Linked DNA regions of Caenorhabditis elegans. The protein of the gene in region 4 interacts with the protein of the main gene of each other region in a pairwise test. Each region holds a gene or a part of one and is shown on either strand. Other genes may lie near its edges.

Region 1 (5,881 bases), on a different chromosome or scaffold from region 4:
CATACTCTCTCTCTCTCATCATCACATGTTGACCTCATAGTGTCTCGGTTCGGGCCGATTAAGTTTTCGATACGCAAACATTTAATGGTAAAAATGGACATGTGGCTCCTCCTTTTTTGACTGAAAGAGGTTTCATTTGGAAAAAGTAGTTTGACATACTTTCCAGTAGTAATTTTAAGATTAGCCAATATTTGAGAGATTTTGTTTCACCGATTATCTCAGACAGCTGCCATTTGTTTTGTTCGTGAAAAAGTTTTTCTTGGTTACTAAAATACTTTGTCTTACTTAGTTAATTTTCTTTTTTTGAATATAATGTAATTTTTCAGATAATCTTCATCCTGTTTTCGTAAACAATTCTATCTGAAATTATGAAAACAAAACGGGATCTTAAAAAGAAAGGTTTGTCTTTATCCTTTGATTGTCTCAAAATTATAAAAAAATCTGTAAAACGAGAAAGAGTTTGAATACAAGTTTGAATTATTTTTTAAAGACTTTCTGATCAGTTATATTAGTAAGAAGCAGAAAAGTAGAGCGAAATCGTGGAGAGTCCACTTGGAAACTTTAGCGCAGTATAGAAAAGTCAGTAACTATAGTCACGAACTTTTCTAATTCAAATTTAAATTGTCTATCATAGTGTATACATGAAATTATCAAAATATGCATATATTGCCATTTCTTCACTTTTTTGCTCCCAGGTTTCCTGTGCTTTAAAGATTTCCCACTTAAATTTATATTGAGAATTGTTCTTGTTCTTCGACTTTCATCTATGCAAAAAATGTTACCGATCAAAGTTTCTTCAAAATTATCACCACAAAAATATGCATTATCAGACCATTTCCCTTTTCCGCAAAAGTTCAAAAAAATTCACTTAAATAGGTTCGTATCATAATCATTGAAACAAATACAGTGATTTGTAGCCTCCTATTTATTTTTTTTATTCAATTCCTGAAATTTGCAGAAGTTTCCAACACTTTCATCACAATGTCTACAATTTCTGATAAATTATCAACGGATCAAAATTATTTTTCAATGCCAACAGCGCCTAAACCAACGAAGCTTTGTGGATATTTTGGTGTTCATAAAAGTTAGTTTGAGAAGTTTTTATTAATTAATTCGAGAGAAAGTGGGATTATTTTCTAGGTTCCCACACGCCTACCTATGCCTGCCTACTTTTTCATATCTTATGTACTTATTTTGTTCTCACAGTGTTAATTTACACAATTATCTTTATTTTATCATCTTATTTGATGAAAGTTAAATTAACAAATGAAAGAAACAACGTTTGCGTGTACAGAAGGCGCGCGAGGTGAAGGCAGGCAGGCATTATTTCTCTCTTTTTTATTTGATTTTTGACACATTAAAGCTTATCTCTTAATAATAGAAAAATTGAAAACAAAAATAACATGAGAATCATTATAAAATTGTTTACATTTTTGTTTTGTTTGTTTTACAAGTGTTATCAAACCTAAAAATACTGATCACAAAATAAATAACAAGGCTATTTTTTTCGATGGATTATTTATTTATAAAAAACAGGGTAACAAGAATGTTAAGGGAGTCGATGAAAAATTTATATTAAAAAATATGTTTTCAGTTGCAATATTTGGAATCAGTTTCAATGCAATTTTCTTATTTGCATTTTACGTTTATGGATTAATAAGATTGATTCAAAAAACACCGAAGAATTATGTTGAATTTATTGGTACAGTTAAATAAATTTAATCTGAATTATTTAGAAATATGGATTTTTCAGTAATCTGCTCCATACTTATCACCATGATCCTCACCTTCAGTTTAATGTTTATTATGGCAGTTTTCCGTGCGAGACCCAAATTTTTACTACCATATATGGTTTTGAATACGATTCTGTTTTTTGCATATGCTGGTGAGCGAAGTTTTTTTTTCGGTGTGGTTTTAATCAGTTTCGCAAATATTGAGAGATTGTGAACCGGACGACCAAATTTGACAGTTTTTAATTGGAAAAAGAGAGATTACAGGAGCGGTAATCGGATCGACAATCACAGTTCCTGATGAAATTAGAGAAGAGGTTAATGGACAAGATCGGAGTTATAAAATTGTTGATATTATTTTATTAAGGTGGGATTTTGAAAAAAAAAGGAAACCTAGGGTATACTATTTTATCAATTTCAGAGTTGCATTGCTGGTATTTGGTGCATTTGAAATATTCTTCATCTATTCGTATATTTGGACGTATATTGATGTTCGAAGGTTGTACCTTTTCAATCGAAGATGAACTTGAAGTTTCTAATTGATATTTTCAACCATTCATTTTTTTTAAAGATTCCTGATTTTTCACACGGGTTTGTCGCTATAATTTTTTGATTGTAAAAAATAAATATGTTTTTTTTTAACTTAAATTAGTGCATAAATTGTTTGATTATAATAACATATCAGTTCACTACAAGCAGTTATAGGCGTGAAAACTTTTGGCCTACAGTACTCCTAAAAGACGCACATCATTTTAAATCGCACACGTGAAAACAGTGCGACCGTAGTTTATGCCCCCGCGTAATATGAAGGAACCATTTTTCAGGCTTTTCTTGAGTATTCCTTGTTTCAAATATTACTTTTCGGCCGGAAATTCTGACATATTTATATTAAAAACTTTTTTTTAAACTTTTTTATTGTGCACCGGCGCCAAAATGTGATATTTTCTCATAAATGCCATTCGTATCTGTTTTGTTCGCACTCAAGTATTGTTTTATGTAACGTGTTTTTGTTTTTCAGTAGGATCATTTGATTTTCTTTTTCAGAACTTACAGCTCGCAACATCTTCCGGAAATCGAGTATCTCCGGTGTTGATTGTTAAGCATTCCCTGCACCCGATTACTTACACTATTCACATCCACTCAACTGCATCAATATGAACGTTAACGGTGAAAACAACGAGAAGATCGATGAGTGAGTTTAACAAAATTCAAATGAAAAAGTAATTTTATGTTATTAAAGGCATCATCTCGAGAGCTCCCTCGCTGGCGTTCCAACTTTGCCCGTTTCACCACTCGATCACGCTAAGGACTTGTCTCAAACTAATCCGAATGCCCAGATTGGAGATTTGGTTACTCAAACTGCTAACTTGATTGCTATCAAAAAGCAGTTGCTTGAAGATATTGCATTGTGCGTTGGCTAATTTCCTGAATATCTTCAATTTACTACATTTCAGCAACCAACATATTCAATCGATGCAAGTTCGCGCGATTCAGAGTTTTCCCCAGAACAACCAGGTTGCACCTCCATTTCAACAGTTTGATCCTAGACGCCGCGGATTAGCCCGAATGCAGAAACCAGAATCATACAAGACTGTGATCTGCCAAGCTTGGCTCGAATCTAAGACTTGTTCTTTCGCAGACAACTGCCGGTTTGCACATGGAGAGGAGGAACTTCGTCCAACATTGTAAGAATGAAGCAAACAAATTATGTTAATTCCAATTTTTAGCGTCGAGCCGCTGCAGAACAATAAGTATAAAACGAAACTCTGTGACAAATATACGACTACAGGACTCTGCCCATACGGGAAACGGTGCCTTTTCATTCATCCCGATCATGGACCAAACGCATACATTCGCGCTGATAAACTTCTTGAAGTCAGAAGAAAACATGTATTTTTGCTCACTGTAAACATTTTCAGGTTTCTCAACGCCATGCATTGGCTGACATTCGTGATCAAATGGAGCAGCACATCATGACTAATGGTCGCATTGCAGCTCCCCCGCTTTCTGCCATTCAGCATCCTTTAGAAATGTTTGCCAGGCCATCAACTCCAGATGAGCCAGCGGCTAAATTGCCACTAGGACCAACTCCTGTTAGTACTCGTGGTCCAAGATATGAGCTACCAACGAAGGAATTGCATGACGCGGAAGGTAAAAATTGGCAGCTAGTTGCAATTAATGACCTCTGTTTTAGGTGCGATGACCTATCCACCGTCTCGCTGGCCATTGGATCCATCGATGTTTGCTCTAGACGCTTGGAATATGGCACATCGGCCAGCTAGTCCACTCGATTCGATGGTTTTGGGTTCCGCTCCAAATGCTGGCTCGTTCGGAATGCTCGGAAAGCAAAATACTCCTGGAGGAGTTTCTGGATATTCATCTGCTGGATCCACGCCTTCTCAGGATCTCAGTTCTTCGTCACTCAATGCAGCATCCGCAGCTGCCGCTGCTGCATATTTCGCAAATTCTGCTGTTGCTCAATCTCTTCTGATGAAATCTGTCGCAACTGATCCAATGATGTCATGTAACGGACCATTCTCTCCAATGCCAGGATTCGATCAATTGGCCGAAAATATGACCAAGCATCTCAATTTGTGGTGAACAACTTCTCTACATTTGTCAAATTTTTAAACACTTTCAATATTCGTGTCCCCCATACTAACTAATAATGCGTGCATTTGTGAATATAATAAGTTTTAGTCGACGTGTTCTTGTCCCATAGAAACTTGGCCCAATCGTCAAAAGCGCCCATTCCCATTTTAAATTCTCGAAATTAATATCGAATCTTGTGATGTATATTGTAATTCATCGAATCATTGAATGTATTCCAATTTTCACCGCTCGAGTTCCCGATTGCCTTCTGTCTCACTAATCCCTTCCCCAATCTCAAAATAAATTGCACCTGCCACGGATCATAATTGTGATTCTTTTTTTCTATCTTTCTTTCTTCTCAATGGCTCCGATACTGCCCGTACGTATTTTTCTTTCGTTTCTTTGTTCATTTAAAATTTTTATCCGAAATTTCCTTCTTGATCCTCATTGCAGGATGTAGTAAATTTTTTTGATCGATTCAATTTTCAAATTTATTGAAAATCAGGTTATATGTTCCAACACGAAAACTATCTAAGTACGTACCATGAAAAAGCAAAATAATATTGCAATTCAAGTTAGCTTTGTTCTCAATATGAGAACATTACGGTTTTAAAGACTTTATATGCATGCATGTTAATTAGTTTTTTCCCAACCGTTTAACCGATAATAATACATTTATTTTTTTAAATTTTAAGCTTCGCGTTCTTGACTAGGTCATAAATTGTCGATATTTATAAAACTGTTAATTGTGGGTAAGCTTGATCAATCACTTGATTAAATCAAAAGTGTCTAGGCTCTATTCAAAATATGCGCCAGTCAACACTATTTGCGCATTTTCAGTGCGTTTGCGCTTATTCTGTTGAACACTTGCTTTACAAACTCGCCCTGCCTTTTGTTGTTCTACTAAACAAGCTCTCTTTGCCGTTAATCTTCAATTTTTTCAGTTAAAATATGAGCGAAGAGCCGGCTGCAAAGCGAATGAAAAATGCCGATGAGTTCCCAAATCTCCGATCCGAAGTAGCTGGTCCCGTGAAGGAAAAGCTAATCGAACTAGACGCCATTCAGCACCAACTAGATGTGATGAGTGAAAACGCTGCCGAAGAAGTTTTGAAAGTCGAGCAGATTTTCAATCAGAAACGTCTTCCGATTTATGAAAAAAGAAAGAAGCTGACAACAAAAATCGACAATTTCTGGCAGACTGCTTTTCTCAATCATCATCTTCTTTCAACTGCTATTCCGGAAGAACAAGAGGACTTGTTAGCCGCTCTGCGAGATCTTGAAGTGCAAGAATTTGAAGATCTTCGCAGTGGATTCAAAATAATTATGACATTTGACCCGAATGAGTACTTCACAAACGAAGTAATTACAAAGTCGTATCATCTGCAATCTGAGTCACCGAGCACCGAAATTACCGAAATCGAGTGGAAGGAGAACAAGAAACCGCCATTCGTGAGTTTATCTTTATAATCCCTATTGTTTTAATCGAATTTTTTCTAAAACTTTCGCAATGTAACTCTTCCAGAAGCCGGAAGACGGAGATTCAGCTCACACGTTTCTTG
Region 2 (5,439 bases), on a different chromosome or scaffold from region 4:
TGCGTATACAGTTCAGATTCAGAAATTTCGATCAGACTGTTTAGTAAATTTATTAGGGTAATTCTAAATTTTTTTGTATAGAAAACTGAACAGGTAATCCAAATTCAAATGTGTTCCATTTATTTTGATACAAATATAGGTGCCTATAAAACAGGCTTACCGCCTGCCTAGATAAAAACTATTTTTCAAATTAAAATATTCAGACGAGTTACTTTTTTTTTGCGGAATGTGTATTGGTTTACTTGGTTTCTAACGTACCGCTAACCAACTTAAACTGAAAATTCGAGGAAAATAGGGAGAAGAATACTGTAGATATATAAAATTTCTACAAAATTTAAATTCTTTTTACCAAAACCCAAAAATTTTCGAAAACGAACGAGTTACTGTACGAAGTTTGTATATATGCCCGCATAAACCTAGATAAGTAAGGTTAGAAAGCAACTTGAAATTTTCAATGTAGAGAATGTATTTGACTTGCCAACAACTTTGCCATTTCCTCCCGTTTCAAACTACAAAAACATGAACTTTCAATACATGGGACAATTACTTTATAAGTAGGTACACGCGACCCTAAACTTTGTTCACTTTGAAAAAAAAGTGAATTCCGTTTTAAATGTCCATGGCTGACTACATTTTTCCGTATCTTCACTCATGTTTTTCCGATTCGACCGTAATATTTGATAAGATCAAACATTTCCATGACAATCCATTCCTAAACCAGTTTTTCTTCATTTTCAAAAACATTTTTCAGTATCACTAAAGACCTTTTCCCACCTTTTGCTATCTCTTTTTTTCAATTCGAAATTGACCTTCGCACCTTTTCAGAGACCGTCAAATTCTGACACACGATGGAAAGTTTCGAGAAGAAGACTTTCTGGCGGTTTTTGATGAATTCTGTAAAACAAATGGATTGTTTGCTGGCTCCAATGCTCCATCAACTGTAGCCGAGAAATGTTACACTAAAGCGGTAATACACAATGAAAACAGAACAAAGGTTAATAGATAAGAAACGTTTGATTTTAGATTGAAAAGTACATGAAGAAAAACAATATTAATGCAGAGGTGCAAAACAAATCAACACACTTTTTTGCAATGAATGAAAGTCAAATTTTCAAATATAGAAATTATGGTGATACAACATTACCTGATGGATACTCAATTGATATACCTGAATCAACAAATGATGTTATGAAGATTGTAGGATCATCTATCACACCAAATGCAAAATTAGTAGAGTGAGTTTTTGGATCAGGAAATTAAAAACCAACAGTACTAGATTTATATCATTTTCTCACAAAATCGAGAAATCGTAAAACAACAGTTACATGGAAAAATAGGAATTTTTTTCAGAGAAAAACTTCGACGGTTCCCATCGCTCTGCGTTCGTAAAGGCGACGAACTTGTTGGATTCATTTCTTCAGAAACTCACGGAGCACTTGCTCATTTGCATGTCTTTGATGTGAGTTTTACTATTTTCAAATTGAATATTTTCAAATCTGTTTTTAGGGGCATCGTGGTAAAAATCTTGGAGAGAAGTTGGAGATTGGAGCTGCTAAAATGGCTATTGAGTGAGTGATTTTTTGACAAAGGACTGTGGAAAAATGATAATATTTTAGAAATGGAATGCGTCCATGCAAGTTCATCGACACAACAAACAGTTTCTTCTTGGAAAAAGCAAAAAAGTCAAAGTTGATGGATGTTGTTGAGTCCAATGGAACACCGCTAGTTTTCGACCAAAATGTTTATTCCCAGGCGTCAAATTATGGAATGCACAAGTGATTTTAATAGGAATACAATGAACTTACAATAAATCAAATATACATGTAAATATTGAATAAAAATTCGAATACCTTCCAGCAAGTATATTTGCAAAGTAATGTTCTTTTACAGCTAGATTTTGGTCAGACAGTGTTGTTGAAAATTTTTTAGTCGAGAAAATCTAGTTATTCGCTGTTTATGAGTTACTTTTTCAGACAATTACACAATTTCCATGCTTGCTAAAAAAAAATTATTAGTTACAGTAACCTTTAAAGGCGCAGCAGCGGGGAGTGCACATCTCAAACGAGTGTGACCGTAGTCATTGGTGAAAATTGGCAACATTTTCTTGCAAGTTTTTTGACTTTGATTCAACCATAAATTTCAGACTTAATTCTAAACTTAAGTATTAAAAAATAATTATTTGATCTTATTTAGCGCGCATTGCCGCCAAACATTGACTTTTTGTTTCGAAATTTTGGGACAGAGATGGTTTTCTTCAGTTTTCTTTTGTTCAACAACATTTGGTTCTGTTCATTCATTTATTTCATTCAGAAGGATTTTGGCCCGTTTATTTGAATTTTAAAAGAGCTTATTTCTGAATTACGTCGCTTAAAACAATAATTTTATACCGTTTTGGCGCATTCGTTTTTTCTCGTTAAAAACTTATTTCTTTCATTCTTTAGACGGTTGTTATTCATTGCTCGCGGAATCTTACCATTTTTAAAATTTCTTTAAATTTCAGGGAATCAATTAACCGAGCACCCCACGCCTAATCACTAACCACCCATTTCCCCTGCACTACTAACGAAATAATGGATATGCTCAAGGAAAATGTTATCCAGAATAATGAGTGAGCCACTTTTATCATAGTTTCTCAATTTTAATTTTCTTTTTTAAGGGCTCGTACAGAGTCGAGTGTTGAACCATCGCATCCCGATATGATGGAGACTGTTCCGGAAGAACAGCAAAAACCGATTTCTCATATCGACGATTTGCTTTCCGAGACCGCTAACCTGATGGCTGTCAAGGAGCAGCTTCTCAAGGAGATTGCTGAGTAATTCTATAGGATAAATGGACTGTTTCTTAAATTTTATCTTCTCAGAAACGAGCATATTCATTCGATGCAAATGAGAGCTCTTCAAAATCTTCCACAGGAAGCTATTCTCCCACTGCAATATCATGCTGATCCAAGACGCCGTCACCGAATGCAAAAACCGGAATCGTACAAGACTGTCATATGTCAGGCTTGGTTGGAGTCGAAGACATGTGCTTTCGCGGAGAACTGTCGTTTTGCTCACGGCGAAGAGGAGCTTCGTCCATCTCTGTTGGTTTGAACATTGAATTAAGATTACACAACATATTTTACAGGATCGAGGCACGTCAAAACAATAAGTACCGGACGAAGCTCTGCGATAAGTACACTACTACTGGGTTGTGCCCATATGGAAAACGCTGTCTTTTCATTCATCCGGACAATGGACCAAATGCATACATTCGAGCCGATAAATTGTTCGAGGTAAGATAACTTTTTAATTTTCCACTTTAATCAAATCTTCAACAGGTTTCGCAACGTCATGCTTTGGCCGACCTTCGCGATCAAATGGAGCATCATATCATGAATGGAGGTCGTTCTACAGCCGGCCCTCAACAATTTGATATGTTTGCAAGGCCATGCACACCAGATGAGCCAGCAGCAAATATGCCATTGGGTCCAACCCCAGTTAGCATTCGTGGACCACGATACGAGTTGCCATCGAAGAAGCCACTTGAGACTGAGGGTATGAAAATTGAATATTGATGATTAATTCAAAATAATTTTACAGAAGCCGGGAATCGCCCACCATCAAGCTGGCCGTTGGATCCATCAACTTTCTTCGCATTGGATAGTCTGAATATGGCAACTCGTCCAATCAGTCCGTTTGAGTCTATGCTTATTGGAGCAGCCGGGAACATGCAATACTCTATGCTTGGAAAACAATCAACACCGGGAGGAGTTTCGGGATATTCTTCCTCTGGATCAACTCCGTCTCAAGATAGTGATTCGTCTCCACTCACAGCTGCTTCTGCTGCTGCAGATGCTGCCTGCCAAGCCAACTCGGAGTCTGCTCAGTCTATTCTTCTGAAGTCTATCAACAATCCGATGATTGGAAACGAGACAACTCTTCCAATTCCTGGACTTGATCAACTTGCCATGGACATTGCCAAGCACCTTGAATTGTGGTGAATAACCACCTCCTTCCCCATCTATTTATACATTTTGTCAAATTGCCATACGTTTTTATGTCCCATACTAACTATAATAACGCGCGCAATTTGTAAATATAATAAGCTCAATGTTCCTGTCATATAGAAAGCACGCTCGCTCCCCCCATCTCTCGCAGGCTCTGAAACTAAACTTGAATTATTTTGCTGCATTTTATTATATCGGATATCATTGCATGTATTTTCAATTCCCTCCAAATATAAATTGCTCGTATCCTCTCCCCACACTAACAATCAATAAACTTTATCGAATGTCAATCAATGTTTTTGAAGACCATCTGGAAATAACGTTTTTTCACGAAGATATCTGATTTTCAATTATAGAATTGCAAAATAATTTCTGAAATGTTTCGTTTGACAAAAAAATATTTTTTAATCTTCCCTCCAATTAGTTTCGCGACAGGGCGCATTTGCTTCGTCCAGACGAGCGTTAATTTTTCAACAGATTGAGCGCATTCTTTCTTTTAAATTATTGTTTGTGGTTTCAGGTGAAATAAATGGGTAAATTGAATCGATTAGCACTTTTTCATCGTTCAAGAAGGCAATGTGCTTACTCACCGACAATTATTACACGTGAAAGTAGTAGGTAAACGATAAACTAAGAAAATAAAATAACTAATTTTTTCAGCTCCTTTAACATCGACGAGGTAACACAAAATTTTGAACAAAGAACAGAGTTTGCCGCTGCAAATTATCGAAAGAATGGTCAGATTTCCTTGATAATAGTTCTAGGCAAAAAAATATTTTTCAGGCAGTCTATTTCGTATGGTTTTACCCCCGCCAAACGTAACTGGTAAACTGCATTTGGGACATGCTCTAACAGTTGCAGTGGAAGATGCTATTTGTCGACACCAGAGAAATCAGGGAAATAAAGTAAAATTTCACGAAAAATTAAGATGCTTATTTTTATGTTTTCAGGCCGAATGGATTCCTGGATTTGATCACGCAGGAATCGCCACACAAGTAGTCGTGGAAAAAATATTGGCAAAAAATGGAAAGCGACGACTTGAGATGACACGCGAAGAGTTTGTGAAAGAATGCCATTTGTGGGGTGAAAAATGCTCATCTGAAATTCGACAGCAATTGACTCGAATGGGAGCTTCTCTCGACTGGACTCAATCATATTATACTCTCGATTCAAAATTTTCCGAAGCCGTCACAAAAGCTTTTTGCATTCTTGAGCAAGAAGATTTGATTACACGTGGCAAACGATTAGTTCATTGGTGTCCAACACTATCATCTACATTATCGAGTCAAGAAGTAAATCGAATTGATGTTCCATCTGATGGTTACATCAATTTATCGTCGTCAAGTGGAACACGGAGAAGAGTGAAGTTCGGTCAAATGCATGTAATTAGATACAATCTGGTAGATTCTGAATCTGAATTCATTGAAGTTGGAACAACTCGCCCAGAAACT
Region 3 (8,987 bases), on a different chromosome or scaffold from region 4:
TCGGCATGCCTGCTGAAAAATCTGGAATCTCCCTAGGAAAAGTTGTCGAATCAGTGGAAGCATCCGGCAATCGTCCATCCTCAACTCCTCCTCCGCCACCTCCTCCACCACCTCTGGCAGCTGCTCCTCCACAGCCCAAGAATCCCGACCTAAGGGACTCGTTGATGAATGAAATTCGAGAAGCTGGAAGGCTACGGGCCGCCCGTGTTGCTCAATCTGCTTAATTTATACGCTTTTTTTTGTTTGAAGAAGAAAAATGAACTGAAACTGGTTTTAATCTTATTTTCGTCGTTGTCAACATCTAGCCCATTTAATCTTGAATATTTTCTGTGATTTGTGAAGAAAAACACGTTGAATAAATTATTTTACAGCTGAATATGTGCTTTTTTAATTTCAGATTTGATGGCCTAATTGGGAAATTCTAGGCCACCAGCCATTGCCGATGAACATATTACAAATTTCAAAAAATTATTTTCTTCAAAACCAAACACCCAAATTTTTTTTAACTACCAATCTACTAACCGATTATACTAACCGATGTCTGAATAATAATATAAGCACAAAAAATTAATACCCACCGTTCAAAATCTGACTGAAATTCCAGTTTTAGTTTAGCTCCCAATTAATATGTATTCCAATTTTCAAAAAAATTATTTTATTCAAAACCAATCACACAAATTTTTTAAAACTTCACCAATATACTAATTGATCTTTGAATAATAATATAAACACAAAAAATTAATACCCACCGTTCGAAATTTGTCTGAAATTTCAGTTTTAGTTTAGCTGAAAATGAATAAAAATTCAAATTTTCAAAAAATTATTTTCTTCGAAACCAAACACCCAAATTTTTTTCAAACTTTACCAATTTACTTACTGATGTCTGAATAATAATATAAACACAAAAAATTATTACCCACCGTTCAAAATTCGACTAAAATTCAAGTTTTTCTTTAGCTGAAATTTAGTAAAAACTCAATTTTCAAAAAAACATTATTTTAAAACCAAACACCCAAATTTTTTTTTAACTTTACGAATATACTCGATTATGACCGAACAAAATTTTACGCTAATATCCAGTTTTACTTTGACTTTTCAAAACCCTCATGCGCCTTTAAACCTCGGTGTACTGTAATAACTCGATATTTTAATTGTTTTTATTGCCTTTTCCTCAACCAATGTTAGATAAAATATGTTTTTCCATTTCCAGTGATCACATGGTACAGTTATATTCAATTAAAGAAAACAATCGCGGCGAGACCCAAAAATGTACTTCCCAATTCGATCCCAATTCTTTCGCAAAATAATGACAGAGTGGACAACAAAATGTGACATGTTTGTTTTTATAAGACGTCCGCCGTCGTCTTTTTTCTGTTTACTTGCACTTCCTCGCAACGGCGTGGCCTAGGTTTTCCCACGGCCACGCTCATTTAGGTTCTAATAAACCACACTAGTGAGAGAGAGAGAGAGATAGTTGCGAGAAGAGACGGAAAAGAGCTAGAGAGGTCTCTCGTTCTCTTCATTGGCCTCAATTTCTCGCCACCACCCCCTACGTCTCTATTCCCCCAATGTCCTACATTTTTCGGATCGTTTTTCCCTTATATCAGAATCTGCCTAATTTTACGAGGTTTCGGCGCATAATATTATGTGCAATTCGAGAATAAAACTTTGAATATTTATTAGTTTAGGTCTTTTTCATTGATTTTTTCCAATAAATTCAATTTGATTTTAAATTGCTTGAAAATCGCCACCGTATCACTTTAAAGGCGCATTGCTGTTGTTTAACTTTGGGTCTCACAGCGAACCGAGTTTCAGTCATTAATTTTGATTTTTCCTTGGTTTTTTTTAAAAGAAAATTCTCAAAGTTAAAATTTTCACTCGGTTTTAAAATTAATAATAGCTAGCAACTATAATTCTGGAAAAAACATAAATTCACTTTAAATTGCCTAAAAATACAACCGTATAAGTTTAAAGGCGCATTGCTATTTTTAAGTTTGGGTCTCACAGCGAACCGAGTTTCAGTTATTAATTTTGACTTTTCCTCGGTTTTTTAAACTTTATTTGAAGAAATTCTTCAAAATTAAAATTTTTCTCGTAATATTTAATCAAAAATAATAATTAGCAACTAAAAATTCGGAAAAAAATAGAAATTGCTTGAAAAGTTTCACCGTATAACTTTAAAGGCGCAATGCTTTTGTTTAACATTGGGTCTCACAACGACCGAGGTACTGTGGAAAATTTATCGAATTTAACGAATTTATTCATTTTTATGAATATATTTCCATTTTCCTCGGTTTTCCGAAAGATTTTAAGCTTTAAAATCATCAAAAAAAAACTTAGTTGCAGATAAAAAATGAAAATGGAAGAATTCTCACCTCCAACTTCACCGAATAATCACGTAATCGTGCAGGCGAACCCGCAAATCGCCGCCGCTCTCTCCACGAATTCTGTAAGCGATTTGTGTGTCCGCTCTCTAATTATTGCTTTCTGTCCCAACAATGACTCACCGGCCAGCCGACAAAAAAAAAACAAAAAAAACGAATAAAAATAATAAAAAATCGGAGCGCCTCTCCGTTTTTTTTCCCCCGTAAACGTCCAAAGTGTATGTGTATTATTCTCATATCGATTGTGCTTCTCTTCTTCCCCCGACAAAACCATTTCCATCACAAAAGCTTCTCGTCGTCCTCTGTCCATATATATATATATATTTACTAATACTAAAAAATGTGGCCCTACCATCATGGATATCACGTCTATCACCCACATTTTCAGCCAATGCAGCAGGGAATTCCGCCACAAGGCCATCAGAATCCCAACGAACAGCAGCAGCAGCAGCAGTTTGTGGGCCAACCGCCGATGGGTGGAATGGGCGGCCCGATGAGAATGCAGATGCCACAGCAGCAAAGTATGAAGAAAAAACTCCTAAAAAATGCCTCAAATTCAGAAATAATTCCGTGAAAAATGAAAAAAAAATTGCTCAAAATTTAGCTGAAATCTCCAATTTTGTCCTATTCCGCCTATTTTAGTCGGCTATTTTACGTTTTTTCCGAAGAAAAAAGAAAAAAATCGCGAAAAAGTGAAAAAGTTAACTCGAAAAACATGATTTTTCGAATTACCTCCAAAATGAGAAATGCCTGAGCAATCAGCGATTCGCTCCGCCCACTTTTCGACCAATCAGGTAGATTGGGCGGAGTTTGAAGATGCTGATTGGTAGGAAAATACTCGAAAATTGGTAAATTAAATATTTAAAAAAAGCGATTTTTAAAATGGAATTCTTTGAATTTTTTAAAAGCGATATCTACATTTACACAAAGCCGCCTTAAATTACACCTAAATTAACGAAAAACGTGAAATAAATATGCAAATTAGGATGAAAATTGAATAAAAATCAATTTCTAGCCACCCTGGCACCGAAAAAATGGAGATTTTCGCTAGAATTAGGCGATTTTCGGAATGTCTGGTAGATCATGGTGTGATCTACAAAAAATGCGGGAATTTTTGGCCCAAAAAAATGTGACGTCAGCATGTTCTTAACCATGCAAAATCAGTTGAGAACTCTGCCGCATTTTTTGTAGATCAACGTAGATCAAGCCGAAATGAGACACTCTGACACAATGTGTGGTTAGGAAATTCGGAAATTCAGCAAAATTGGAACAGCGACCAATCAGCGACCGGCTCCGCCCACTTTTGGACTAATCAGACGGAGTGGGCGGAGTTTGTAATCGCGATTTTCTCCGTTTTTTTTTTTGTGGTTTTTCTGAATTTTAATGTATTTTTGGATATTTTTAAAGAGAGTGTAGTTGAATTTTTTTTTTATTGCTGTATTAGACTCAAAATTGTCTGAAAACATCGAATTTAATAATGAAACTTCTTGAAAACTTTTCAGGAAAAAGTTATGATGGCTCAAAAAATGGCCTAAAATTAGTGCATTTCTTGCATTTTCAACTTGATTTAGGTATTTAAAAATCAATGGACGGCGAGATTTTTAAATTTTTTTAACGATTTTTTTCCGTTTTTTTTTGTGGTTTTTCTGAATTTGAAACTATTTTTTGGATATTTTTAAAGGTGGTGTAGTCGAATGTTTTTATTTGCTTTATTAGACTCAAAATTGTCTGAAAACACCGAATTTCATAGTGAAACTTTTTGAAAACTTCTCAAAAAATAAGTTATGACGGCTCAAAAAATGACCTAAAATTAGTTAAAGTTTGAAATTTGACCAACTTATCAATGTCGCAGCGGCTGGAAACATTTTTTTTTGAAATCACCGTCAAATTTTGAGTATATAAGTTAATTACCTTGTGTTTTAAATTTGATTAAGGTATTTAAAAATCGATGGACGACGAGATTTTTAAATTTTTTAAAACCAAATCTCGCCGTCCATCGACTTTAAAATACTTAAATGAAGTTGAAAACGCAAGATAATTAAATTGTATACTTAAAATTTGACGGTGATTTCGAAAAATTGTTTCCAGACGCTTGGCTAGTCGGTAAAATTTCAAATTTTAACTAATTTTAGGTCATTTTTTGAACCGTCATAACTTATTTTTTGAGAAGTTTTCAAACAGTTTCACTATGAAATTCGGTGTTTTCAGACAATTTTGAGTCTAATAAAGCAAATAAAAACATTCGACTACACCACCTTTAAAAATATCCAAAAAAAATAGTTTCAAATTCAGAAAAACCACAAAAAAAACGGAAAAAAAATCGTGATTTTCAAATTTTACTAAAATTAGCTCTCCGCCCACTCCGTCTGATTGGTCCAAAAGTGGGCGGAGCCGGTCGCTGATTGGTCGCTGTTTTAATTTTGCTGAATTTTCAAATTTCCTAACCACACATTGTGTCAGAGTGTCTCATTTCGGCTTGATCTACGTTGATCTACAAAAAATGCGGCAGAGTTCTCAACTGATTTTGCATGGTTAAGAACGTGCTGACGTCACATTTTTTGGGCCAAAAATTCCCGCATTTTTTGCAGATCACACCATGATCTACCAGACATTCCGAAAATCGCCTAAAATCTCCATTTTTTCGGTGCCAGGGTGGCTAGAAATTGATTTTTATTCAATTTTCATCCTAATTTGCATATTTATTTCACGTTTTTCGTTAATTTAGGTGTAATTTAAGGCGGCTTTGGGTAAATGTAGATATCGCTTTTAAAAAATTCAAAGAATTCCATTTTAAAAATCGCTTTTTTAAAATATTTAATTTACCAATTTTCGAGTATTTTCCTACCAATCAGCATCTTCAAACCCCGCCCACTCCGTCTGATTGGTCCAGAAGTGGGCGGAGCGGTACGCTGATTGGACGATGTTCCAATTATGCTGAATTTCCGAAAATCGCCTAATTCTAGCGAAAATCTTCATATTTTCGGTGACTACACCGTCTCTTTAATAAGGCTTCTCATGAAATAATTCGTAATTTTAGTCCGCCAAATGCCATACCCATCACCACAAATGCGTGCGGGCCCTCCACCACCACAGCAGCAGCAGCAGCAACACTTTCAACAAATGGGTATTCCACAACAGCAGCAGCCCCAACAATTCACACCGAATGGGCAATCAATGCAAATGCAACAGAGACCAATGCAGATGGGCATGGCTCAAGGGGTACGGGGGCGGTTATTATCTGGGAAATTTGAATTTAAAAAAAGCTTCCGTTTGAGACCCAAGAAAAACCTTTTTTCGGGAATTTGGGTCCACGGGATCAAAAATCTCTGAAAAATTGTTCTAAAAAATGTTACAAAACAATTTCTGCAGTGGAGCAGCGGAGCAGCGGTGAAAATTTCAAGGCTTGTATAATTTCTTCAAAAAAAAAATTTTTTTTTCGCATATTTTGGGCATTTTTAAGACTTTTTCTGCAGTTATTTTTGGAAATCCGCTTAAAAATCCTCTAATTTTAAAATGTTTCCAGCCAGGACCATCTGGACATTTAATGGGAATGGTCGGAGGGCCTCCGCCACAACATATGATGCAGCAGCAAGGAGGTGGTGGACCACCACAATTTGTGGTGAGTTTCCGGCAAAATCGGCAAATTGCCGGAATTGAAATTTCCGGCAAATCGGCAAATTGCCGGAATTGAAATTTCCGGCAAAACCGGTAAATTGCCGGAATTAAAATTTCCGGCAAATCGGCAAATTTCCGGAATTGAAATTTCCGACAAAATCGGCAAATTGCCGGAATTGAAATTTCCGACAAAATCGACAATTTGCTGAAATTAAAATTTCCGGCAAATCGGCAAATTGCCGGAATTGAAATTTCCGACAAAATCGGCAAAATGTCGGAATTCAATTTTCCCGCAAATTGCCGGAATTAAAATTTCCGGCATATCGGCAAATTGCCGGAACTAAAAAGGCAACGTTTACCGATCGAGCTCGTAAAAAACCGGCAAATTCGCCAAATTTGTCGTGGCGTAATATTTTTTGGAGCTCAAAAAGAGCCCGATTTAATGGAAAAACTATAAAAACCATTAGTTTTGGGCAAAATTTTTCAAAATTTCCAGCCAAACTCGTCTCCAATGCCGCTGCCTCCTCAACAAATTATGCAAGTACAACATCAGCAGCAACATCAGCAGCCACCACCATCTCAACAAATTCAACAGCCTCCAATTCCACAGCCACAACAGCAACAGGCACCGCCACCTCAAATGATACCGGCCGCTGTTCCGTATGGAAGTATTATGGAAAAGGTGCAACAAAAAACCGGCAAAAATACTTAGAAATTTCGGCAAAAAAACCGGCAAAAATACTTGAAAATTTCGGCAAAAATACTTGGAAATTTAGGCAAAAAAACCGGCAAAAATACTTGGAAATTTCGGCAAAAAAACCGGCAAAAATACTTGGAAATTTAGGCAAAAAAACCGGCAAAAATACTTGGAAATTTCGGCAAAAAAACCGGCAAAAATACTTGGAAATTTCGGCAAAAAAACCGGCAAAAATACTTGGAAATTTAGGCAAAAAAACCGGCAAAAATACTTGGAAATTTCGGCAAAAAAACCGGCAAAAATACTTGGAAATTCCGGCAAAAAAATCGGCAAAAATACTTGGAAATTTCGGCAAAAAAGCCGGCAAAAATACTTGGAAATTTAGGCAAAAAAACCGGCAAAAATACTTGGAAATTTCGGCAAAAAAACCGGCAAAAATACTTGGAAAATTGATTTTTATTTAATTTTGAAATTTTTTCAGAAAAAATCGAATAAAGCTCAGATTTTCCGATTTTTTTTCAAAGAAAATCGAAAAAAATTCAGGTTTTTTCAGGAAAATTTAAAAAATTTTCTGATTTTTTAGTTTTTTTTTCAATTACAAATTTCTCTAGCAAAAATTCGCAAAAAAAAAATTTTTTGGATTGTCTTTTCATAGAAAATGAGCAAATTTCAGATTTTTCGGTCTTTTTTTTCAGAGAAAATAGGAAAAAAAATGCACAAAGAATTCACGGAAGGGGACGAAAAAGCTATAGATTTATCAAAAAATATGCTGATTTTTATTGAAAAAAGTGATTTTTTTTTTCTATAAAGTATTGAAAAATGGCCGGAATTTATTGAAAATTCGATTTTTTTTAAACGAAAAACGAAAATTTCCAATTTTTCAATACAATTTTTAAATTTTTTTTTGAACTTTGAAAAAAATTCGAACTTCTGCATACACTAGTTTTTGCTTTGCTCCTGAAAAAATAATGAAATTAAAAATGGAATTTTTTGTAAATTTGCTATTAAAAATTCGATTTTTAAATTTTCACTGAAAAAAATGCCTAAATTTTTGGTAATTTTTCTTGTAAAAATTCTTGTAAAATTAAGAGTTTTTGTTTAATTTTCTAATTAAAAAATTTTAAATTTTCGATTTTCAAGATTTTCAAACAAAAAAATCGAAAATTATAACAATTAATAAAAAAAAAAAAAAAAATAGCCTAAAATTTTCGTAGTTTTTTTTTTTCAAAAACTCTATAAAATTTTTTTTTCCGATTTTTTGATTTTCACTGAAAAAACCGAAAATTCTTATTTTAAAAAATCTTCTTTTTTTTAAAATTTTTTTTTCAGTCAAAACTGGATGATTTGATGCAACAAATCAGCTCAACAACAGTACTCGAAGAAAATGTAAAAGATGTTCTTGTGGAGTACGCCGACGATTTTGTCAGTTCTCTAATCGATAAAGCATGCAAAATGATCAAGAATCGGGAGGTGAAGAAAATTGAATCACGGGATATCGAATTTATTCTCAAGAATGTCTATAATATGCCAGTGGTACGGCGTTTTTATTACTGATTTTTATGTTTTTTTTTGATATTTAAAATGGTCTAGAAAATACGGATTTCGTGAAAAAAAAATTAGAAAAAAACGCCTAGTTTTAGCTAAAATCTCTAATTTTTGACTATTTTTTTGGAAAAAAAATCTTCTTTTTTTTGTTGATAAAAATTTTCATCACAAAATAGCTTTAAAAAACCGGATTTCGTAAAAAAAAAACGCTTAATTTTAGCTGAAATATCTACTTTTTTACCGTTTTTCGATTCTCCAGTATTAAAAATTTTACCTGAAAAATACAGAAAATCGGGTTTTTTTTTCGATTTTTAGTGTTTTTCAGAGAAAAAATGTCTAGAAAATATTGAAATATTCATTAGAAATTTTTTTTTCTCCGAAAAACCTTGTAAAATCGGAAAAAGAAGAAAAAAAAAGTGTTAGGATATATGGATTTATCAAAAATATGCAAAAAAATGTGCAAAAATGTGCAATAACTGTGCAAAAATGTGCAATAAATATGCAAAAAAATGTGCAAAAAATGTGCAAAAAATGCGCAAAAAATGTGCAAAAAATGTGCAAAAAATGTTCAAAAAATGTGCAAAAAATGTACAAAAAATGTTCAAAAAATGTTCAAAAAATGTGCAAAAAATGTTCAAAAAATGTGCAAAAAATGTACAAAAAATGTTCAAAAAATGTGCAAAAAATGTGAGACAAAATTCGAGTTTTTCAGCTAAAATTAGGTGTTTTGGCTCGATTTTTAATCT
Region 4 (9,304 bases):
CTGGTGCTGCACTTGGAATTGGAGATAATCCTAGTCCTGGTGCTTCACTCAATCCTATTCCAAGATCCGTCTTCAGTTGAGTGGTCCATGCTTGATTTGGTTCTGGGGTGCTTTGTACATTTTCATCGTGATGAGTCGACACATTAGGCGTCTGCTCCTCAGCCAAAACTGATGATTCACTGAAAATTAAATTTTTAATAATCTAAATACAGGGACAGAACAACTTACTTTTGGAAGAAACCATCTTCTTTCTCCGGCTGATGCGAAGTTTCTGGCTCGAAAAATACTGGCGCTGCTGCTGGCTCTTCTTTAACTGGTGCAACTGACGGAAGTGGAGGTTGTGGGGAGAGACTCCTCCTTGGCGGAGCTGCTGGTTGAGGATTCTGTGCCTGGTGCTTTCGGAGTGCTTCTTTGCGATGGGCAGCTGCTGCTACTGCAGCAAATGAGATCGGTGCCGGCGCAGAAGATGTGGGAACAGTGGCGGTGACGGATTCCTCTACTGGTGGTTGAACTTCGGTGACTGTGGTATCCACTTTAGTCTGATTCTGAAAAAAAAACACGTTTCGTCATTTTCCTTCTTCAAAAAATTCTTACCTCATCAAGATCAGCAGTGAACGCATCTGGCTCAAGTGCTGATGATGGAGCAACAGCTCGAGAATATCCACCTCTGGCGCCACCTCTTCCACCTCGTCCAACATACGGTTTTTCAAATCCTCCTCGAGTCGAGCGTGGTGCTGCTCCTTCCTTATTATCACGGTTATCCCGATTATTATCTCGGCTTTCTCTTGGAGCTCCATTGGATCGCCCGCGGCCTCCTCGATCGACGAAACCGGTGCCTCCACCTGAAAAAAACATATCAATATTTGATCTATTTCAATCAAGCACGAACCTCTGCCTCTTGCTACAAATCCTCTGTTGTTATAACTGCCCTCTTCCGGCTTCTTCTTTTCCTTTTTGGCTCCTTTCTGTTCAGTCCACGAGTCAAGTTTATCTCCAGCATCCAGAATGTGATCGATTGCGCCGTAAAGATTGTTGTCAGTATCCAATAGCGCTATCTCAGCTTGTGCTTGTGTACATCCGGTGGTTTCGATAATCTGAAAATGAAAAAGACATGAGCAGTGAAAAAACCCCTCTTGGGAATGCGCGAACACTTTAATTAGCCCAAATGAGTAGGACATCTGGGTACTCTTACTCTCGCTGCACCATCTCAAGCGCGGACACCTGCTTTTGTCCTTTTATTTGCCATCTGGCCCCGTCTTATCGATTCGAAATTCCTATTGACACTGAAAGCGGACACTAGAGAAGTTCAAAACAACAAAGTCACGTGCGTCATCATGTCGGTGTGTGGCGAGCGTTCGCGTGATGCAAAGATCACTATTTTCAGGAAAGCGTCATTTCCAGCTTGGAGACTTACCGTCTTGATCATAAACTGTATGTCCTCCTCATTTCCGGAATTTCCTTCCAGTGTGAGTCGTGCAAGTCGCGCTTGATCGCTGGTAGCTTTTTTGTCGCCTTTAATACCCATTCTGAAAACAAATTATAAATAAAAAGGGTCAGTCATGTGAACGCAAGAATGGAATGAGAATCACGAGAATACAACTATCAAAGGAAGGTTGAATGAAAGGAAGGTCAAATAGATGACAAAAGTAGGAAAAGAACGAAATATGGAACCTTCCAGATCAAAAAAACATTATCAAAAGAAAAGCCTCGCACAGAAGACTCTAACGAACATGTTAGGATGAAGAAATATTTCAGCAATACATCACGTTGAACTTTGGAGGATATTCTAGAGAAGAAAACCCCTACATTTTACAATAATTTTGAAATGGAATTCGAATGAACTGCTATACAATGGAGAATCCTATTTAGCGATGATAAAGTGTAGGCTTGTTACTAGATTGAATAAAAATTTCGAAATGTAACAATACATTGACTGAAAATTTGGGTATTTCAGAGTGTGATATCACAAAAATCAATATTTCCACTAAACTCAAAAGTTCTTACGCTGAAAAATCATTAAAAAATTGAAAAATCACCGCAAGCTAGACTAGAATCGCGTTCAAATCTCGCAAATTCCCGCAGTTGAAAATGCGGGCGACCGCGACGCGAGCCGCAACGCACCCCTCCAAACATGCGGCATGGGTCTCGCCACGACCGAAAGTACGGTCACTCTTGGCAGTATAAAAGGCGACCATTTTCCGCTATTTTCCGGTAAATTTTCAAATGAAACTGTGTTGCGGAGGGGGTTTTCCGCTAATTTTGCGGAAATTTAGCTATTTAATGTGAAAATGTGAATAAAACAAAAGAAAGTGGGGAGGAATAGCAAGGAAACACACTGTTGAACCCTGGGAATTATCGATTTTGTATGAACTCTTCTTTTATGGCGTCGAAATTATCGACACGAAAACTCAAAACCTTGTCACATTTCTGAGAGAGAAATATCATTTTCAGCACACATGAGTCTTCCCAGATTTCGACTCGTTCAGGGAAAGGCGATCGGCGAGCGATCAACGCCAGGAGTCAGCACACCAGAGCCGGTAATTGTTTTTTTTTATTTCAAAATTTCTACAACAACAAAAAGAACTAACAATAATTTATTCCTTTGATTCCAGGCCCCTCCGCAAATAAAGCAGGAAGTCGACTACCAAGATGCTCATCAAATGGCTCCGGAACCCGTGGAAGCACCCCGTAAATATTTAAAAATTTAAAAAAGTTAGAAAAAAAATTTGAATCCCAATTTTCAGAGGCTCAAAACCATCAAATGCAGCCGCCTCGTCAACCTATACAACAGCAGATGCAGCATTTTCAGTCACCATCGCCAATGGCTCCACAAGGGCCGCCCGGGACTCCACAAAACTCTGCAGCGGCGGCCGCCGCTGCTTCAGATGACAAAAACGTGACAAAATGCGTCCGCTTTCTGAAAACTTTAATTAATCTGTCGAATAACGATGATCCAGAAATGCCGGACAAGGCCGCCCGTGTCAAAGAGCTAATTCGAGTGAGGAATTGAGCGAAAAACGCGATAAAAACCGGACAAATTCGGATATTTCAGGGCGTAATTTATCTGGAAACGACGGCTGAAGAGTTTACACGAAATCTGCAACAAGTGCTCAAATCTCAGGCTCAACCGCATCTTTTACCATTCCTTCAGAATACTCTTCCGGCATTGAGGAATGCTGTTCGAAATGGTTCGGTTTTATGTGCAAAAAAATTAAAATCGACAAAAAAAAAATCATCGAAAAACAGGAAAATTTGAGTTGAAAAGCAGCGAAAAACTTGAATTTAACATAAAAAATTGCAAAAAATCCGTTGAATTACATTTTTCAAGAAATTGTGTAGAAATTCCATGAAAAAAATTCAAAATTTCCAAATTTTTTGGCTATTTCTAGTCAATTTCTTTAAAATTCCATTTTTGATAGCGAAAATTATCAAGTTTCTAACAATTTCAAGCTGTTTTTGGTGATTTTTTCAATTTTTCGGCTTTGAAATTCCATTTTCCGGAGTATATTGTCATAATATATCCGAGTTCCACAAAATTGAGCAAAAAAAATTAAAAATTTCCCTTTATTTAAAAATATTTTCAGCTGTCAGTAATATATGGATTTTCCGCAATTTTTCTCACAATTTTGAGCAAATTCCTGATTTTCAGCCAATTTATAAGGATTTTCACCCATTTTCATAATTTAGGGCTATTTTCAGCTGAAAAATTGTAATTTAAAGTTTTTAAAATTTTTATAGATTTTCTCAAATTTCAGCTCAAAAATTCGATTTTCAAGCGCATTTCCAGGCAATTTATTAAGATTTTCACCAATTTTTTTAGCTTAAAATTTAAAATTTCCACATTTTTTGTCTATTTCCAGTAAATTTCTTTAAAATTCTATTTTTGAAAGCAAAAATTATCAAGTTTATCGCACTTTTTCAATTTTTCCGGAGTATATTTTGGTAATTTATCCGAGTTCCACGAAATTGAGCAAAACAATTATTTAAAAACTTCCCTTTATTTAGAGCTATTTCCGCAAATTTTCTCGCAATTTTCACGCAATTTTCATAATTCAGGGCTATTTTCAGCTGAAAAATTGCAATTTAAAGTTTTTAAAATGTTTATAGATTTTCTCAACATTCAGCTCAAAAATTCGATTTTGAGGCGCATTTCCAGGCAATTTATGAGGATTTTTACCTATTTTCTAGATTAAAAATCTTTTTTTTTCCTCAATTTTGGACTATTTTCCCTAATTTTCAAATTTCCAGGCACTGCATCAGTTGAAGGCGTAAATCCACCGCCTGGCTACGTTTTCAACAATGGAAGAACCCCAGGACCCCCTCAGCCACCTCCACCTCAACAACAATCCCAGCAGCAGCCACCACTAGAAATGCGTCAAATTCCGAATCCGAATCAAATACCCCCACAAATGGTTCAAGGGGGTCCCCATATGGTATCTGTAGGCGCCCGGCCAATGATCAGGCCTATGGGCCCCGGCGGCCCAAGCCCAATGGGCCTACAAGGCCCCGTACGAGGGCCGATGGGACATCAGATGGTCCAGATGCATCCTCCTCCCCCACCACAGCAGATTCAACAGCAGCACCCGGCTCCCCCTGTAGAAATGGAGGTGGAAGAGAATTTACAGCCTACCGCGGCGGCCACGGCCACGAGGCAATATCCTGAAGGATCGCTGAAATCGTCGATTCTGAAGCCGGATGAGGTGCTGAATAGGATCACGAAACGAATGATGTCATCGTGTTCGGTGGAAGAGGAGGCGCTTGTCGCGATTTCAGATGCTGTTGAGTCGCATTTAAGGGAACTTATTACACTGATGGCCGGAGTTGCAGAACATCGGGTGGAGAGTTTGAGGTATTGAGGAGAATTGATTTTGCTTCAAAATACGGCAGCGAAAAAAAAATTAAGCAAAAATAAGGAAATTATTGAAGAAAAATCGTCTTAAAAACAATTTTACATTAAAAAAAAAGATTTTTAAATTTCAAAGGTTCCGAACTATTTATTAAAAAAACATCTAGATTTTGTTTTAAAATCCAAACAAAAAACATTGCTGAAACGCGGTAATTTTTTTTCAAAAAAATATAAAAATCTGAGAAATATTTTCAAAAATATCTCCAATTTTCCCCTGATTCCGAATATCTATTCGAAAAAATTCAAAAAAAAAATTTCCCTTTATATTTCAGCTTGAAATCGCTTTGTGCATGCACACCATGAGATTTTTCAAATGCGCGCCCAGATAAATTCTCATTGGGGCGCACTTGCTTCGTGTCGATTTACGGGAGCTCTTCATTTTTAAATTTCTTTTAAGCTTTTTTTTTCAGTTTTTCAACGAGTTTCCTTGATCTTCGTCGATTTTTTGTCATTTTTTTTCCTGAAATTTTGTTTTGTGTCAATTTGAAAATTTTTTAGGTCAAAACTCCTGTGTTCGTCGAGATCTGACGTAAAAATATAAAATTCCGGGAGTTTTGAGATATAAAAAAAATATTTTAAAAATTTCAGAAAAAAAACTGACAAAAAAGCGACAAAATAAAAGAAACGCGCAAAAAAAAAAAAAAAAAACTTAAAAAAGCACGAATAAATTTTTTTAAAAAATGGAGAGCTGCCGTAAATCGACACGAAGCAAGCATAAAAAAATGGCTTTTTTCCTAACAATTTTTTGTGAAAAATCCGAATTTTCCATCCTAAACACTACAAAAGATTCCAGAATTCCGGAGAACTACGTGGCAATTGATGACGTCAAACGGCAACTTCGATTCCTTGAAGATTTGGATCGTCAAGAGGAAGAATTAAGGGAAAGTCGAGAAAAAGAGTCGCTAATTCGAATGAGCAAGAATAAGAATAGTGGAAAAGAGACGATTGAAAAAGCGAAAGAAATGCAACGACAAGATGCTGAAGCGAAAAGGAATCGAGATGCGAATGCGGCTGCAATTGCAGCACTTTCCAGTAATAAAACTGTCAAGAATAAGTTCGTTTTTAGCGTGAAATTTGCAGAAAAATTATTTTTAAAAAATAGATTTAAAAAAAACAATTTCCTGACCAAGGGTGTCATTTTTCGATTTTTCGGTTTTCAAAAATTCGAAAAATGAAAGTTTCGTTTTTCGATTAAAAAACTGAAAAACCGACACCTTTGTTTCTGAGATTTGGATTTAGAAATAAGCAAAAAAAAATTATTCAGAAAAAATTGTTTTACAATGCTGCAAAATCGATGAAAAAATAAAATAAATCAATAACTAATTTCTAAAAAATGGAAAAAAATTTCGTTTTTTTCGAATTTGTATTTCACAAAAAAAAATTTTTAGAATAAAAATTTTCAATTAAAAAATTACTATTTAAAATCACTGAAAAAAAATGAAAAAAATAGAAAATTCAGAAAAATAGCGAAAAAAAAGTTTTTTTCCAGAAATTTCGTTAAAACGATCAAGATTTTAACCCTAAAATTTAGATAAAATCAATTTCTTGTGGTTCTTAATTTAAAAAAAAAAACAGTACTTTCCAGTAATAAAACTTTCAAGAATAAATTCGTTTTTAGTGCGAAATTCGCAAAAAAAATTACGAAAAAGTGAAAATAGAAGCTGAAAGGAAAAATGTTTAAAAAATAAGAATATTTTCGACATTAATTGGTTTTTATATATATTTTTTTGTAGAAGTTTAAAAAAATTACTAAAATCACTGAAAAAATTGAAAAAAATTTTAAAATCTGGAAAAAAAGCAACAAAAAATTAATTTTTCCAGAAATTTCGTTGAACTATTCGGTATTTTAAGCCTAAAATCAAGATACAATCAATTTGAACAAAATTTGCTTTAAAAATACTAAAAATTCGAAAGAAATAGAAAAAAAAAGAAATTTTCGAAATTTGGATTTATTGTTAGAGAAAAGCTGAACACTTACAAAAAATTAATTTTTTACGTTTTGAGAAAAATTTTTGAAAAAAAAAATCGATTTTTAAATAATTTTTAGAATTTTTTAGAACTATAATTTTTGAATTTCAGTGACTTATAATCACAGAAAAAAATGAACGAAAAACAAATGAACATCTTTTCGGCAAAAAAACGTATTTTAAAAAAAAATTTAAATTTCTAGTGACTTTGAAAAAAAAACCACATTTTCCAATAATTTCCAGGAATAAACTAAATTTCTTTGGAGAAATTTGAAATTTATTTCACATTTCGAAAAAATTTATATAGAAATAAAAATTTATATGAAAATAAAAAATTTGCAGCTCCTTCCAGTAATGAAACTGTCATTTGTTGAAAATTAGTTTTTTTTTAATTTAGAAATTCTCTTTTCGAAAAAAAAGGTTTTTTTAAAACTTGATTAAAAATTAATTCATTTTTTTCCAAAATTAGGGAAAAAATAATTTCTAAAAAATTAGACAAATACACTTTTTTGTTGAAAAAAACAACATTTTCCAATAATTTTCTTTTTTTTTAAATTGCTTCCACTAAATTCACTTTTTGAAGAAATTTTTTGAAATTTTTACTGAAAATTGTTGGAAAATTATTAAATGTGCATTTTTTTGCAATTTCCAGTTGATAAACTAATTTCGGTTCAATTTAAAATAAATTTCGAAAACCAATTTCAAAAAATTCATTTTTTACAATTTGTTTTTGTTGATAAAACGAGCTAGTTTCTACCAAAATACCGCTTTTTTACATTGAAAATTTAAATTTCAGATGGGAAAACACGGGCGCCGCAACGACAGCACCTCGTCCACGAACAGTACGTGTAACAACTCGTGATCTACATCTTTTAGTCAATCAGGATAGCCGATTCACAGGGTAGCGATTTTTTTTGTTTAAAAAATTTTTTTAAAAAACACCGTATTAAACATTGATTTTTATTGGAAAAAACTGATTTAAAAATTTTTCAAAAAACTTTCAAACGAATGGTAGTTTTTAATATTTTAATTTTAAAAAATTCCAATAAAAATCAATTTTTATACGATTTAAAAAAATTTTGAAAAGTTATCCAATTTTCTCCTAAAAAAACTCATTTTTTTTCCAGAACATTCATCCGTGAAAAGATGTCATACGGTGGTCCGGCAGTCGATACAACTATCTGAACTAAAGAAATCTCATGGAAAAAGGAGCGAAAATTCTGCTTTTCTCGTTTTCTTTTTTTAAATTTAATTTTATTTTTCCACAAATTAAAACAATCACTTTTTTCCAGTCAAATAATAATTATTTCTCATTTTTAAACGAAATGCTAGACATAAAAAAAAGCTTCTTTTTCAGCTTTTCAGCCAAAAATTTCAGATTTTTCAGAAAAAATTCAACAACAAAAAATTGGCAAAGTGCAAAAAAACCAGAATTAGATATTAAAAATACAGGAAAAATCGAGAAAAATGAGTTACAATTCAGAAAATTAGGCAATTTTTTTTTCAAAATTTCTCAAAAACACTGAAATTTCGGTATTTTTTTCTCTACTTGAGCACAACCTCGTGTTGCACCAATCGAACATAGTCTTTGAGCGTCGGTGGAAGTGGAAGCTCATCGATTATTCGCTGATAGACACCGTCGGCACCGGCGATTTCCAGATTTCTACGTTGGCGAAGGTGGATGGCGCGCTGGAAAAATTTCTAATTTCGAGCTGAAAACTCTTTTATGAAAGCAAAATTTCATAGTTTCAATTCAAAGTTCGAATTCCTCGCAAAATTTCAGTCGGAAAACCGAAAACTAGAAGTTTCTTGCTCGAATTTGAAATTTCGAGGGGTACGGTATCCTCGAAAGTACGCAAACACCGAATTTTGTTTTTTTGAAGTTTTGGCGCCAAAAATACAATACCCGGGGTCTCGACACGACAAATTTTTAAAATTTTTTTGAGTACTGTAATTTCAAACAAAAAGTTTTTTTTCGAATAAACTCGAATAATACGATAAAAAACATATTTTAATAAAAACCGTGGCAACGAAAGTTTGAAAGTACAGTACTCTCTTCAAAGGCGCACACCTTTTACGCATTTAACTTTCGTGGCGAGACCCCGGGGATACCGTAATTTTTGACTCAAAATTTAAACAATAAATCCGTTAAAATATTAAAAAATTTTTAGATATTTTTCAAAAAGACTGTCGAAAAATTGTTTTTTTATAATTTTTAGAATATTAACAAACAGTTTAAAAATTCCAACAAATTTTGTTTTTCATACCGAAAAGAAGAAAAATGGACAAAATAGTAAGCTATTTTTGTGTGTCAAAGTGTCTTATTTCGGCTTGATCTACGTAGATCTACAAAAAATGCGGGAGAAGAGACTCAGAGTTCTCAACTGATTTCGCATGGTTAAGAACGTGCTGACGTCACATTATTTTAAGG

Evidence for each region.
Region 1: the proteins of taf-4 (region 4) and oma-1 interact in binary tests that used the Caenorhabditis elegans proteins (3 or more experiments, as listed by UniProt).
Region 2: the proteins of taf-4 (region 4) and oma-2 interact in a two-hybrid assay, tested with the Caenorhabditis elegans proteins (one study listed by BioGRID).
Region 3: the proteins of taf-4 (region 4) and taf-12 interact in a two-hybrid assay, tested with the Caenorhabditis elegans proteins (one study listed by BioGRID).

Annotation. Positions count from the first base shown.
Region 1 is NC_003282.8:8,886,202-8,892,082, forward strand, and holds oma-1 (CCCH-type zinc finger protein oma-1), read left to right. Parts: upstream 1-2,774; 5' UTR 2,775-2,884; coding exon 2,885-2,922; intron 2,923-2,970; coding exon 2,971-3,138; intron 3,139-3,184; coding exon 3,185-3,415; intron 3,416-3,457; coding exon 3,458-3,605; intron 3,606-3,649; coding exon 3,650-3,881; intron 3,882-3,924; coding exon 3,925-4,331; 3' UTR 4,332-4,798; downstream 4,799-5,881. Other genes in the region: C09G9.5 (MARVEL domain-containing protein), read left to right, coding at 369-399, 959-1,084, 1,595-1,702, 1,754-1,885, 1,998-2,097, 2,152-2,254; spr-2 (Suppressor of presenilin-2), read left to right, coding at 5,274-5,771, 5,845-5,881. UniProt on the Caenorhabditis elegans protein: Zinc-finger RNA-binding protein that binds to 5'-UA[AU]-3' motifs in the 3'-UTR of maternal mRNAs to suppress translation in oocytes and embryos.
Region 2 is NC_003283.11:8,026,939-8,032,377, forward strand, and holds oma-2 (CCCH-type zinc finger protein oma-2), read left to right. Parts: upstream 1-2,500; 5' UTR 2,501-2,570; coding exon 2,571-2,608; intron 2,609-2,656; coding exon 2,657-2,812; intron 2,813-2,860; coding exon 2,861-3,082; intron 3,083-3,126; coding exon 3,127-3,274; intron 3,275-3,319; coding exon 3,320-3,536; intron 3,537-3,581; coding exon 3,582-3,982; 3' UTR 3,983-4,276; downstream 4,277-5,439. Other genes in the region: F43H9.4 (Glycine N-acyltransferase-like protein), read left to right, coding at 826-967, 1,024-1,235, 1,351-1,459, 1,507-1,568, 1,617-1,779; vars-1 (valine--tRNA ligase), read left to right, coding at 4,518-4,606, 4,649-4,725, 4,772-4,893, 4,939-5,439. UniProt on the Caenorhabditis elegans protein: Zinc-finger RNA-binding protein that binds to 5'-UA[AU]-3' motifs in the 3'-UTR of maternal mRNAs to suppress translation in oocytes and embryos.
Region 3 is NC_003281.10:11,862,641-11,871,627, reverse strand, and holds the start of taf-12 (Transcription initiation factor TFIID subunit 12), read left to right. Parts: upstream 1-2,346; 5' UTR 2,347-2,353; coding exon 2,354-2,449; intron 2,450-2,772; coding exon 2,773-2,905; intron 2,906-5,421; coding exon 5,422-5,603; intron 5,604-5,907; coding exon 5,908-6,003; intron 6,004-6,495; coding exon 6,496-6,681; intron 6,682-8,025; coding exon 8,026-8,229; intron 8,230-8,987. Other genes in the region: Y56A3A.6 (WH2 domain-containing protein), read left to right, coding at 1-224. UniProt on the Caenorhabditis elegans protein: Part of the general transcription factor complex TFIID. Plays a role in recruiting taf-4 to the nucleus and thereby activating transcription initiation by RNA polymerase II, as part of the TFIID complex.
Region 4 is NC_003279.8:380,377-389,680, forward strand, and holds taf-4 (Transcription initiation factor TFIID subunit 4), read left to right. Parts: upstream 1-2,449; 5' UTR 2,450-2,456; coding exon 2,457-2,537; intron 2,538-2,612; coding exon 2,613-2,688; intron 2,689-2,744; coding exon 2,745-2,998; intron 2,999-3,052; coding exon 3,053-3,188; intron 3,189-4,248; coding exon 4,249-4,849; intron 4,850-5,699; coding exon 5,700-5,960; intron 5,961-7,669; coding exon 7,670-7,774; intron 7,775-8,000; coding exon 8,001-8,058; 3' UTR 8,059-8,188; downstream 8,189-9,304. Other genes in the region: Prion-like (glutamine/asparagine-rich) domain bearing protein pqn-59, read right to left, coding at 1-179, 229-545, 595-842, 890-1,094, 1,415-1,525; R119.5 (Protein-L-isoaspartate O-methyltransferase domain-containing protein 1), read right to left, coding at 8,419-8,562. UniProt on the Caenorhabditis elegans protein: The TFIID basal transcription factor complex plays a major role in the initiation of RNA polymerase II (Pol II)-dependent transcription.